3 linked regions of the Bombyx mori genome follow. The main gene of each other region encodes a partner of the protein of the gene in region 3 in a complex. Links are inferred from orthologs where the notes say so. Each region holds a gene or a part of one and is shown on either strand. Other genes may lie near its edges. The genes, in order: inhibitor of growth protein 3, ruvB-like 2 and mrg.

Region 1 (4,103 bases), on a different chromosome or scaffold from region 3:
CGCCCCTGTTAGCAGAGCCGAGATATGTAGGTTCGATTCCCAAGTCGAATTTGTGGAAAATATTGGTACGACAAACTAGTTTGCCTGTCTTTAATAGCCAGACATGTTTAAACATATTAAGTATGCATGTGCATCAGTCTTTGTTTCCCATAATTCAGAAAGTCCTAGTTTGGGACTAGATGACACTTTGTCATTATTTACCAATTATCTGTTATTTATTTTTATTTTGAAGTGAATTTGATAGAGAGATTTACTGCTCCCCAAACGTAATTCATATTGAAAATTTATCAATTCGCGCTTGCCTAGATTTTCTGGTCTATTATAATTGGTATAGTGGACAGATAACCAATTGTAGACAAACTTTTCACCCAGGGAAATTCTGAAAAAAGCTTATAACTAGCTTTTCTAGCGTTTGAGCAACTGAGAATGATCAATTAATTTATTTTAAATATTTTTTTTACCATGATCGTGATGATGAGTTTGTAAAGCATGATGAGCCAGCTCTCCACCTGCAACTGCTTCATAGGATGCTTTCAATGATGCTGTACGACGACCATGCTGCATCTGTACATTAAGAGAATTAATGTTAACATAATTCGGAAATAAAGTGATGGTTTTATCAAAAAAATATTATATTAAATGATACATTATATCTATTTGTTAAATGCAGAAAGATTCTGAAGCTGAAATGAGCATAAACTACTGCCTTCACATGAAAACTCTATTAATTCGTATAAATACTTTTCATTTTAATTATTATTCAGAGTATTTGTCAGTCTATAAGTAATTAGCTGGAATAGTAGTTAATTTATTTTATTGACCAAAAAGTGTAGATTTAAGACTGTGTATAATGTGTTATCCCGTTTTGAGGTCAGGAAAAAGTGATATCAGTTAGGCTGAACCTGTTATTTTTATACAACCAAAAACATGTTTTTTATTAATCATGTATATTAATGTTTAATTTACTTGTTGTGTAGCAGCAATAGCTTGGCTTGCTGCTGCAGCTATGGTACTGCCAGCATGTCCCAAAGAGTAAGATTCACGACCAAGTGCAGCCTGAAAGTATTTGAACAGAAATTATAAGTTTTACACTGTACTTTGAAATAAACAACTTATTTGCAAGTTAAGTTGTAAATTCTGAAAATTGTTTCTTAGTAATTGTTTTTTTTATTACGACTTTTTTTTGAGTTTGCCTAAAATCTCCTAACAAACCTGTATGGCGGAGTCAGTGCGCGACATATTGCTTGAGGAATGTCCACGTTGGGAATCACGATTTCCCCAACTATCTCGTCGCTTTTCTGGCCTTATGCGATACCTGAACAATTTCCAAGAATTATCTTATTTTATTAATGTTTCATTTTTTTTTCCAAGACAGATCAAAGGTGGGCATGCAGCAGCATATAGAGCCTACCTGATGGTATATAGTCACTGTAACTCAGACATCAGCAATGCCAGGCATAGTCAAGCTACTGATTACTTACTGTTCCAGTAGGAAACAAGATGCGATTCAAACTACAATGAATTGTAGTTTAATACTAACTCTTGAGAGCAAATTATTGTTTAAAGATAGTATCTATCCAACTATTTAGTCAAAACATGATTGAGGATATTTTTCATTACACAATTTTAATTTGACATTTGTGTTGAGTTACCTATTTTCCTTGTAATGACTGCTGTTTGATGTGCTAGTGTGATTAGTATTAACATCCAATTCAAGTGACCTCTTCTCAAGCAATTCTGTTATCCCTTTGTTGTCTGCTTCAAGCTCACACTTGAATTTATGCAGCTCTGTATCTGTTTTTAAGCATGTTTAACTTATTATTTGAATATTTCGAATATATAAATTGTTTAATTATACATCATACCATGTTTTCATAGTGGTACACAATTATGTATGCAAACCGGAGTGTTAATTAATTTTAATTATGGAATCACTCATTTAACTGAATTTACTTAAAAGTTGCAATATATTTCATACATTATTTTGTGTACAGGATTTTTTAGTGATACGTACCTAATCGTCGAAGATACCTATCAACCAAATCATACATTTGGTTGGCAAGTGTGGTCTTTTCGTCAGCCTCTTCTAAAGTTTTGGCATAGCCCCGCTTAATATCCGAAAACTCAGTATTGGCTTGATCGGTATTTATTTCACCACGACGACATCCACCAAAAAGAGTACGGACTCTTTTCTCAAGGGTGTCCATGTTATCTATTAATGACCAAAATATAGTAAAAGTCTGGTATAATAGTGTAATTGTATTGTATGTATGAATGTAATTTTATGGCAAGATAGCTTACTTTGGACAGACAAATCCATTTCTCTCATTTCAGTAAATCTGTCTCGCAGTTCTTGCGGTAGATGTTCTATCACTGCAATTAAATCTCAAATTTTATTCGGTTTATGCTTTCACATAAACTTTAAAATTAAATCAAGCTGTTATTATTATTTGTATTACTTAATTTACTAATTCAATATTCTGCGTCAACGATGTTGTTTAACAATTCAAATAGTGGTATTTTTAAATTTTGCGCTTTATTTATTAAGGACGCTACAGTGCTACCAACTGTCTTAATGGATTTTTAGTTACGTCACTGGTCTAACAAATAACTTACTTTCCAAATAATCTTCAAGATACAGCATTTTGGTGAGTGTTTTGTGCTTCAAGTTTGTTAAATTACTGTTGAAATGCTAACTTTGAACCTAAAACTCAAATAAATTAGTCAATAGATACTACGTTGATGTATACTTAAACGTCACACTTCATAAAGCTGGAAAGCTTGATTGATTTTACAAAATGGTGGGTAAGTAGTGCTGTGACAAAAAGAGTGTTAACATCGGTCACAAAATCGATTAAAATACCAGCTAACTAAGAAATATTACTTTTGATTTATTTCTTAGATTGAACTTAAACTTTAAAATTATGTGGTAAATAGCTGTTTGTATATATTGTAAGTATATAGTCCAAGTGGTCCAAGGTAAGTTAATTACTAACCTTTGATTCTAATTAATACCATAGGCATAGTACTAATAATACTATACAAAGTATAAGTACTAGTTCGTGTATTTGTATCGTGTATTTTGAAAAAACATTTCCATAGATCGCATATGTAGACAAATTAGAAATTTCAATTTGACACAATTTCATTCAAAAGACACACTTCGTGTATTTGACGATTTCGACAATCGACTTAAAATAGTCGCGATTAAAATATGCGAATTCACAACATCAATAGGTAGGTACCTAATATGTGCGCTCATTGGTGTGTAACCAAGTACCGTACATAACTGGCTACAAGGAGAGAAGCGCGGGAAACTTGATTGTAGACGTACGCGTTTTTCGACTTATAAATTATTTTATTTTATTTTTTGGATTGGATCAGTAGTTTAGTGTAGTTTATATAGTAATATTTGTTTTGTTTAAGTTTTATTTATTTAAAAGTGAATTAGGACTGTTATTGGTAAGTGTTTTTTTTTCCTAACTTTTGCTCCTTATGGAGCCGCCTGATGACCCTGGGGGCGGAGAAGTCCCTGGGGTCGGTTACAATGTAACAATATCAAATGAATCTGGAATGGAAACCGATGGATCCGTTAAATCTAACAGTGGTGCTCGAAAACGTAGAGCCACTGTCAATAAGCATTGCTCTAAATGCCATAAAAAAAGACGAAATCGGAAACAAAATCAGGGCAAAGAAATAAAACCAAACGAATGTGATTGCATACCTTTGTTTAATAGTAACACTAACACCCAAAGTATTACTCCTCCCCAATTCACTGACTCGCAACTGAATTCCAATCAGTCCAATCAGTACAAAAAACCAGAATCGGTAGCCAGATTAACTTATCAGGTAAGTGATGCAGCACCATATGTTGTTCATGTGCAAAAAATACAGCAAGCTCCTAACGATGATGTAACAGTTCACCCTATCGCTTTTGGTCGTTTTTTAAAAAGGAATTCTATCCACAACATCGTTAACGGAAGCTTAAAAAGAATTGGCCGTAATAGACTGTCTCTGTCTTTCAATAATTACCAGGACGCAAATTCTTTCTTAAACAGCCCTGCTTTGCAATCCGCCGAGTATAAGGTTTTTATCCCAACGTT
Region 2 (3,655 bases), on a different chromosome or scaffold from region 3:
GAGCAGTGCTTCGCTGTATCTAACACCGGATCGGAATTGCGATTCACTCAGAAGATCTGGTGAGAAACTCAGTGGATTAAAAACTGCTTGACTGATTTAGCTGTATTCGTTATAGTATATAATATAATATATAACCTAGTTAACCTAGTTCAAGTAACCTCACCACCTTGTTGATGTCCATGAGATCCAGTAACTATTTAATACCAAATAAGCCACATACTTGCTGACTAGACTCTAGCTTGCTAGGTCCGAACTAGTTGCTGAACGATTTTCTTGTTGACAGGTTCAAGCCGGAGATGTGATCACCATAGACAAGGCTACAGGCAAAATAAACAAGCTCGGCAGGAGTTTTGCCAGAGCCAGAGACTATGATGCTACCGGTGAGCAGCTATATTGAATTGCCAATGTATCGAAGACAATGTGAAAGGAATGATTTGGAAGGAGCCTATCTTTAAACAAACACTAGATATACGGTAGGCAGCGACTTGGCTCTGCTCCTGACATTGCTGAGGTCCATGGGTGACGGTAACTGCTTCCCATCAAGTAGGCCGTATGCTCGTCTGCCTATAGTAAAATGCCTGCACAAAAAAAAAATAAAAAAAAAATCTGACAAATCAATTGTATGTAACGGATTCTTTCAAATTGCTTAAGATGTTTGATCGACTTGAAAATTTTCACTTGTGTCAAGGACCGATGATTATACAATAATTTGCATTAAGTTCTTATTACGCTGATAATAATAATGCCATCTGTCGCCGAATAGCAAAAACGAATATTAAAAGAACTAATAAAATCGGGAATGCTCGAGAAGTGTAACTTGCATCTATTATCAAATAGCGGAAACACCTATCGAAACGACTGGTCCTACCAGGAATGTTCTCGGTAATTGTAGAGATGTTGTCCTGGCTATAAAAGCTATAAAAGAGATGACACGAAGGCAGTTAGTAATCGACTCGAATCTACTCGAAGCGAAGCGGAAGAAGTGAAGTGCGAATTATAAAGTGTTCCTTAAGTATTCTAAGTGCTTAATAGAGTTTTAATTTAGTACTTCGCTGGAAGTTTTGAAGTGTCACTTCTTTAGAATCGTTGTGATTTCAAACTCGATGAAACGAAATGAAACGAAACGAAAAAATAAGTCCATAGAGACACAAACACATATATGTATAGGATTCAGCCGGCGAGAGAATCAGATAGAACACGTTTTAAGTGAAGTTAAAATATCAATTCATAGAGGGCGCTACCTCATACTATACAAGATGATTTAAAATTATTTATATTTGGCTTGTTATCAACAGATATCGCTGCACGTAAATTCAACAATTCCTGAGTCGCGGTGACGAGATGTTACACAGTTGATAGACGTTCTCGTATTTCTCTTGCTAAATCATACTTACCTGGCGCCGGTCACCGTTTTCGTCGAACCCGTCGCTTGCGACGATAGGCTCGACGAGTAAATTAACCCTCAGACACAGCCCACTGAGTTTCTCGCCGGATCTTCTCAGCGGGTCGCATTGCCGATCCGGTAATAGATTCTGCGAAGCACTACTCTTGCTAGGACCAGTGTTAGCAACGTCGTCAGGTTTGAGCCCGTGAGCTCATCTACTAGTTAAGGTTCCGCTGAAATAGCCTCTCAAGGCTATCAGCTTAGGTAGGAAAAAAAAAACAAAATACCTGACGTAGGGATACCGTAATCATGCAGGCGGTTCCCCCAGAGTGAGACTGCTCCATTGCACTGCTGGGTGACCTTTGCGATTATTTTTATATTTTTATATGTTTCACTTCTACCACGTGTGACTTGCACACACACACACACACACACACACTTTTTTTTTTTTTTTTTATCCCGACCCTCAGTGAGTAACAAATAAATAGTATATGACATTATTATTTGTATACATCAATCAGGTCAGCAGGCCAGGTTCGTGCAGTGCCCCGAGGGCGAGCTGCAGAAGCGCAAGGAGGTGGTGCACACGGTGACGCTGCACGAGGTGGACGTCATCAACTCCAGGACCCACGGCTTCCTGGCACTGTTCTCCGGTGAGTCTGTGCGCATTGAACCGGCAGGACTGCCTTCGTAAGTCGAAGGGTGGAGCAGTTGTCCGGATACCTCTTAATGCTATCTAATAAACTATCTAGAGCAGGCCTGGGCAAATGGCGGAGGTAGAATTTTGTTTGGCCCGTGAAGCATTGTATATAATATATTATTATTAAAAACACATTGCATAAAATTTTTTAGATAAAATATTAAGCAATACCAATACATACTATCAGGGCCGGTGGGAAAATTTTCTCCCGGACAACCGCTCTATTCAGCGCCTCCTATTCGAAAATATAATTATGATAATTGAACAATTATTACACTATGTATAATAGTCGCACAATATAAAATTAGAAAAAAAACTGACTAATCAAAATATTTGCCCACCCCTGATCTAGAGCAAAAGGTAATGGGACATACATCTCTCAAATCAGCCTTTCTCAAAGTGGGCGATAACGCCCCCTTTTGGGTGCTGCAGGCCTAAAGGGGGGCTGTAAGAGACCCAGATAAAAAAATGGGGGGCGTTGTGTAGAGGCTTGGGAGGCGATTAGTAATTTCAACTAGGATACCCTTAGTCACCGACTGACCTCTCGCTATAGGGGTTTTTAAGTAGTTGAGAAAATGGGGGCGTTAAAAATAATTTATTCTCAAAGTGGGCCGTAGACAAAATATGCTTGGGAACCCCTGTCTTAATGATCAATGCCTGAATCTCGCTAACGACATTTTCGAGATATATGTGCGTATATACAAGTTCCAGAGGTCACCAATGTGGTGGAAAGCCCAAATTAAAACTGCAGTGGGAGGTTCCCTAAATGAGTGCAGTAGAATGACCTCGAGCAGGGAGAGATGGCGGAACATCGTAAGACGCATCAATCCTGCTCGGTGGAAGATGTTCCCTTTGTCCTTACCCTTAAAGACATAAAGGATCCAGTCTTAGACCGTAGCATCAGTCAACTGAGTCTCTCGCTGGGTCCTGCCGATCTGATCCAATAGATGTACTCGAAGGATAAATCCTTGAACTGTCAGATCTCCAGATCAGCACTCCTTCAGTACCTGGCTGGAGCTCTAGAGTCTGTTATTCCACCTGGTCAAGTGATAAGGTCTCTAAACTAGCCGGACCCCAAACCTCCAAGGTTTTGATGTCCACGGACCGACTTTGTGTTCTCAGGCGACACGGGCGAGATTAAATCTGAGATTCGGGAGCAGATTAACAGTAAGGTGGCTGAGTGGAGAGAGGAGGGGAAGGCAGAAATGATTCCGGGGGTGCTATTCATCGATGAGGTAATCTTTTTTCTGTCTAACATAGAACGGGTGGTGATTTTTATAGGGGGATGGAGTTCTTTTCTATTGCATAGATGGGTGGACGAGGTCACAAACCACCTGGTGTTAAGTGGTTACAGGAGTTCATAGACATCTGAAACTTAAATGCCATCACCCACCTTGAGATATAAGTTGTAAGGTCTCATTTTTAACAGTACAACAGCTGCCCTTCAAACCGAAACGCATTACTGCTTCACGGCTGAAACAGGCAGAGAAGTGGTACCTACCCGCGCGGACTCGACTTCCTACCACCAGTAAAAAAATTATGAAGCTCATAGATGGATACTCTTGCTCGAG
Region 3 (4,388 bases):
ACGAACCCTAACAAGAGCAGTGCTTTGCAGAATCTACCACCGGATCGGAAACGCGACCCACTGAGAAGATCCGGCGAGAAATTCAATGGGTATATTGCTACCATTTCCATTATTAGACGACTATTTTTGAACCCCAAAATTGTATGGAATGTTAAAGCGGTACACATATATAATTATCAACTTTTATATATAAGCATGAACTTAAGTAGGTGAACCTGTGTAGGAACATGAGTAGGTTCCAAAAGATTGCAATATGCGTGTGAGTGTGTGTTAAACATACGGACAGACATACTTAGGTTGATCAGATCCAGAATCAGCAGGTGTATCTTTACTCTGAGTTTTAGTTGTTTTTGCGGGAGCTGGTGTACTATCGGACTCTTTTACTGAAAAGAAAACATTAACATGAGTTTTAATGAGAGATAAAATTTAAATTGGATCTCACACTGAATGCCAACTATATTTACAATGGGAACTCATTTTCCTAAATACCTACTTGTTTTGTCATTATAATTTTTTTTTTTTTTTATTTGCGTTAATAAACCAACTACCTGTTGGAATACATCTTTTTAGTGGGTCGAGAACTGAATTGCATTCTTATGACAGCTGTCCTATCCTTTAAATCAGCAACAAGCTGCTTCGTAACTGTATTAGTGAGGATATCTGTTCTTCTTTTAATAAAAGGATTTCTAAGTGCGGGTTGTATAAAGACACACACACAGTGAACTGCTTTGTTACCCAACACATGTTCTTAAGTTCATAATTAAATAATAAAATATAATAATAATAACAATAAAGTGAAACAGTGTGAACATCGCTTTGTTTGTCAAAACATATGGTTCGAAATAAGCAGGCCATTCCAGAGAAAATTTTAATGTGAGTAAAAGGAATCCTTCAAAATCCATCCCAGCTTCTCCTCGTTGTGATTAGATCCAATTTTATTTTAAACAAAAACTAAGGCGAGACAAAACTGACACACTTTAATAATTTGCTAAACAGAAGTAACATACTTTAGAATTGCTAATTTTTTTAAGTTACCTTTTGCTGACTTTCATCCACAAATAAAAAAAAAAAAAACACTAATTGGAAAGCATTAGGTTCCTGGTGTCCATAGCTTTGATACATCAATAAAAACACCATAATACTATAGCTATCGACTTCTTATTCATCTTGAATTTTTAGGCTTCCAAATCTAATAACCTTAGCAAGCTTCTGTTAATGATAACAAAAATACCTTGAGTACTACTCGCAGGGGTAGATGCTCTTGATTCTTCTCTAGCTGGAGTAGTTGCAGCAACTGCTGCATCAGATTTCCTACCCTTTGCGGGAGCTGCAATTGTATTTAATATTGCAGATTTTTAGACTGTTGTACAGAATGATCATATTGGTTTATTTAATTTTCAAGAATCTATTGCAAAATCAAGAAGTAATACCCATTAAAACTATAAATCACCTGTTGTCATATTTTTACATTTGTAACTATCACAAAAACTATAAAAGTATAGACAGTACATAAAATGCCAGGATGAACTAATAAAAATAAGAACAGACTTTTTCTTATCATGTCTACTTTACTGTCAAACTCGCAAAACTAAGAAAATGTTAATTTAAATAAATCAAAGTAACAACAATATCTTATACTAGTTCATACAGATTCTAAATCTGATTTGTTTTCCTATATATAAAAATTTAAAGTATTTTTCAAATTCATAAAATATGTACAAATCAACTGATTTTTAATCCTTATACTTGCACCACCCTCTAGAATTGCAAGAGACAATCCAGTGTTTAATGGTATTATTTCTTTTAATTATAAAACCAAATATTTCCATGGTTCCAAATATTTTTAAATGTAACTTAGAAAACGGTGTAAATTACTAACTTTTCTTAGTTTTAGTTGGTTGTGCGGAATGAGCTCTTTGGACTTCTTTCTGCCTTTGTACATTTGCTTCATTGTACTTCAGAACACGGCTTTCAGGCACCCATTCATCCCAACTGAAATAACATTAAGACATTTATAATATACAATTTGTATTTCTCTTTTCAGTAGTTTTTCATATCATACAGCTAAATAAATTTGGTTTAAATTTAATGTTTATTAATCTACTAATAATTTTAGTGGTATGGATTCAGTCCACTGTAATTTTATTATAAGTATTAAGACTATTAAGTTAGATTTCTATAAAATACTTTTAATTTTATTGTTAAAATATTTTGATGCAATCCTTTAATTTGTTTTTAAGTCGGTGAGTTTTTAATCTTGTGTAGTTTTGAACTTCATGTGTTCTTGTGTTATTATTGATCAATGTTATAATATATTATTGTTTAACAGTTTAACATTAACCAATAAAATTTTTGGTGTGGTGCTATATGATTATAATTTTGAACAGCAAAATAAAATACTGTGAATATCACTAAATTTCTTAACTTAAGCTTTATTGTATGAATTATAATGTATAGCTTGCAGGTTTTTATAAAATAATAGTACATACTTTAATGGTAGATACTAATTACTATTGAATCCTTTCAAGTCTTCGTGATTCAATCGGTCACCGTTCAACAAATTTCGTTTACATTACTTGTCTTAATTTTCGTCAAATCTGACATCCAAATGACTTACTTTTTGTTCCATCCCGCGTAATGAATAAGATACCTCACGTGTTTGTCCTTTGTAACTGAGCTTTTTAAACATTTTGCTTCATAAATTAGCGGTCCGTGGAAACATAGCACTTTTTCACCTGAAATTAAGGAATTTGCATTGAAATAAATTACGGTAAATAAACCGATAAATATTTTCAAATAAATTAATTGATTCTAAACATTTATACTGAATAGTGTACTAAAAATAATTTACCTTCAGCAAATTTTAACTTTGGTGCCATTGCTACATAATGTGATTATTTGTTTACAGTTTACAAATGGCTGACTGACTTGTGACTTGAGTCGTTTAATTTTTACAAAAGAGGAAAGGCGAAGGTAAAAGACCATACTGCCAAATGTTTCCTGTGTTACACATAAAATGAAAATAAAGTTAATTTACAATAATAATTAACTATAGAATTATATTTTAACCTGCTTTATACATATTAAGCTATATAAATTTAGGGCGAAAATGGGCATCCTTGTTAACTAGTCAGTTTTGCCTTAGGTAGCTGTGTAGCCATGGAGGATAGAACTAAGGAATATCATTTTGTATAGAGGACAAGTTGAAAAAGTCTCCACCTCTAAACGGTAAGATATTGTTCGAAGACTCACCGAAATATCGCTAGTATAGAAAGTGCAAATGATATGAACACAGCAGTTTTAAACAAACTGAAATGTACTAGATGGCAGTGAAGGCTATGTTCCGATCATTAATTGAAATTCTGGAACTATTCAATTTGTCTATGTGTGTTCTCTGTATTTGTATTACGCAGCATTATATTAAAGTTTTATCTAGTCTTTGCTACACATATGGAGGGTAGAACTAAGAAGTACCATCTCAGTATAATAAAAAGTGTCTGCTGAAAGGAATATAATTAAGCTGGCGCCATAGAAGCAAGTGGAAAGATTTAAAAAACAGCGCCATAAACTACCACCCTTCGGTTATGTTCTAGCTTGCACTGCGAGTACTGTAAAGTCGGATGTCAATATAGCGAAGCTGTTCCTTCATAGTTAGATATATTGGTTACTATTTAAAACGGAACGCAGCATAGTATACTGTCATCACATTTTTTTTGCGTTGTTTTCACTTCAACAAAAATTAGCGGTTTCATATACAAACTGTATAACATGGGACTACAGACTCGTGCTCATCATACGAGACTTGTTGAATTGTTCGTTTCGATATTGAGTAGAGGGAGCTCACTCTCGCCCCCGTCATCTGACGGCCAGAGTCCCACAAGGCTCCGCGCTCTCCCCGTTATTATGTAGTTTGTATATCAATGATATACCCCGGTCTGCGGAGACCCATCTAGCGCTTTTCGCAAATGACACGGCTATCTACTACTCGTGTAGGAAGAAGTGGCTATTGCATCGGCAATTCCAGATCACAGTAGCCACTGTTGAATAGTAGTTCTGGAAGTAGCGCATTGACATCAACCCCACGAACAACACAGCGGTGCTCTTCAAAAGGAGTCGCCCTCCGAATACCACTTCGAGCAGCCCATTCCCTAATAAGCGCGTTAACACCTCCGCGTTCGCCCGATCACTCTCTTTGGCCAGCCCATACAATGGGCCTCGAAGGTCAAACGTTTAAGCGTCACTCTCGGCAAAGGGACGACATTCCAACCCCTCAATAAAAACGGTACCGGTAAAATGGGGCGATTAGGGATTGACAGGCGAATCGGGAAAAAACTGGGAAAATCTTTCGACACTCAATATAAGTTTTATATTCGTTGCAAAATCTTCCA

Evidence for each region.
Region 1: mrg (region 3) and inhibitor of growth protein 3 share a complex: the UniProt entries of both Homo sapiens proteins name them as parts of the nuA4 histone acetyltransferase complex. The link is inferred for Bombyx mori from reciprocal best matches to the Homo sapiens genes MORF4L1 and ING3.
Region 2: mrg (region 3) and ruvB-like 2 share a complex: the UniProt entries of both Homo sapiens proteins name them as parts of the nuA4 histone acetyltransferase complex. The link is inferred for Bombyx mori from reciprocal best matches to the Homo sapiens genes MORF4L1 and RUVBL2.

The regions. Positions count from the first base shown.
Region 1 is NC_085109.1:7,261,567-7,265,669, forward strand, and holds the start of inhibitor of growth protein 3, read right to left. Parts: upstream 2,827-4,103; 5' UTR 2,645-2,826; coding exon 2,617-2,644; intron 2,374-2,616; coding exon 2,302-2,373; intron 2,213-2,301; coding exon 2,015-2,212; intron 1,795-2,014; coding exon 1,653-1,794; intron 1,316-1,652; coding exon 1,213-1,315; intron 1,057-1,212; coding exon 967-1,056; intron 565-966; coding exon 462-564; intron 1-461. UniProt on the Homo sapiens protein: Component of the NuA4 histone acetyltransferase (HAT) complex which is involved in transcriptional activation of select genes principally by acetylation of nucleosomal histones H4 and H2A.
Region 2 is NC_085117.1:3,013,435-3,017,089, forward strand, and holds part of ruvB-like 2, read left to right. Parts: intron 1-283; coding exon 284-380; intron 381-1,905; coding exon 1,906-2,037; intron 2,038-3,206; coding exon 3,207-3,319; intron 3,320-3,655. UniProt on the Homo sapiens protein: Possesses single-stranded DNA-stimulated ATPase and ATP-dependent DNA helicase (5' to 3') activity; hexamerization is thought to be critical for ATP hydrolysis and adjacent subunits in the ring-like structure contribute to the ATPase activity.
Region 3 is NC_085127.1:11,194,323-11,198,710, reverse strand, and holds the start of mrg (mortality factor 4-like), read right to left. Parts: upstream 2,907-4,388; 5' UTR 2,880-2,906; coding exon 2,852-2,879; intron 2,736-2,851; coding exon 2,618-2,735; intron 1,993-2,617; coding exon 1,880-1,992; intron 1,328-1,879; coding exon 1,232-1,327; intron 384-1,231; coding exon 293-383; intron 263-292; exon of another isoform or gene 31-262; intron 1-30. UniProt on the Homo sapiens protein: Component of the NuA4 histone acetyltransferase (HAT) complex which is involved in transcriptional activation of select genes principally by acetylation of nucleosomal histones H4 and H2A.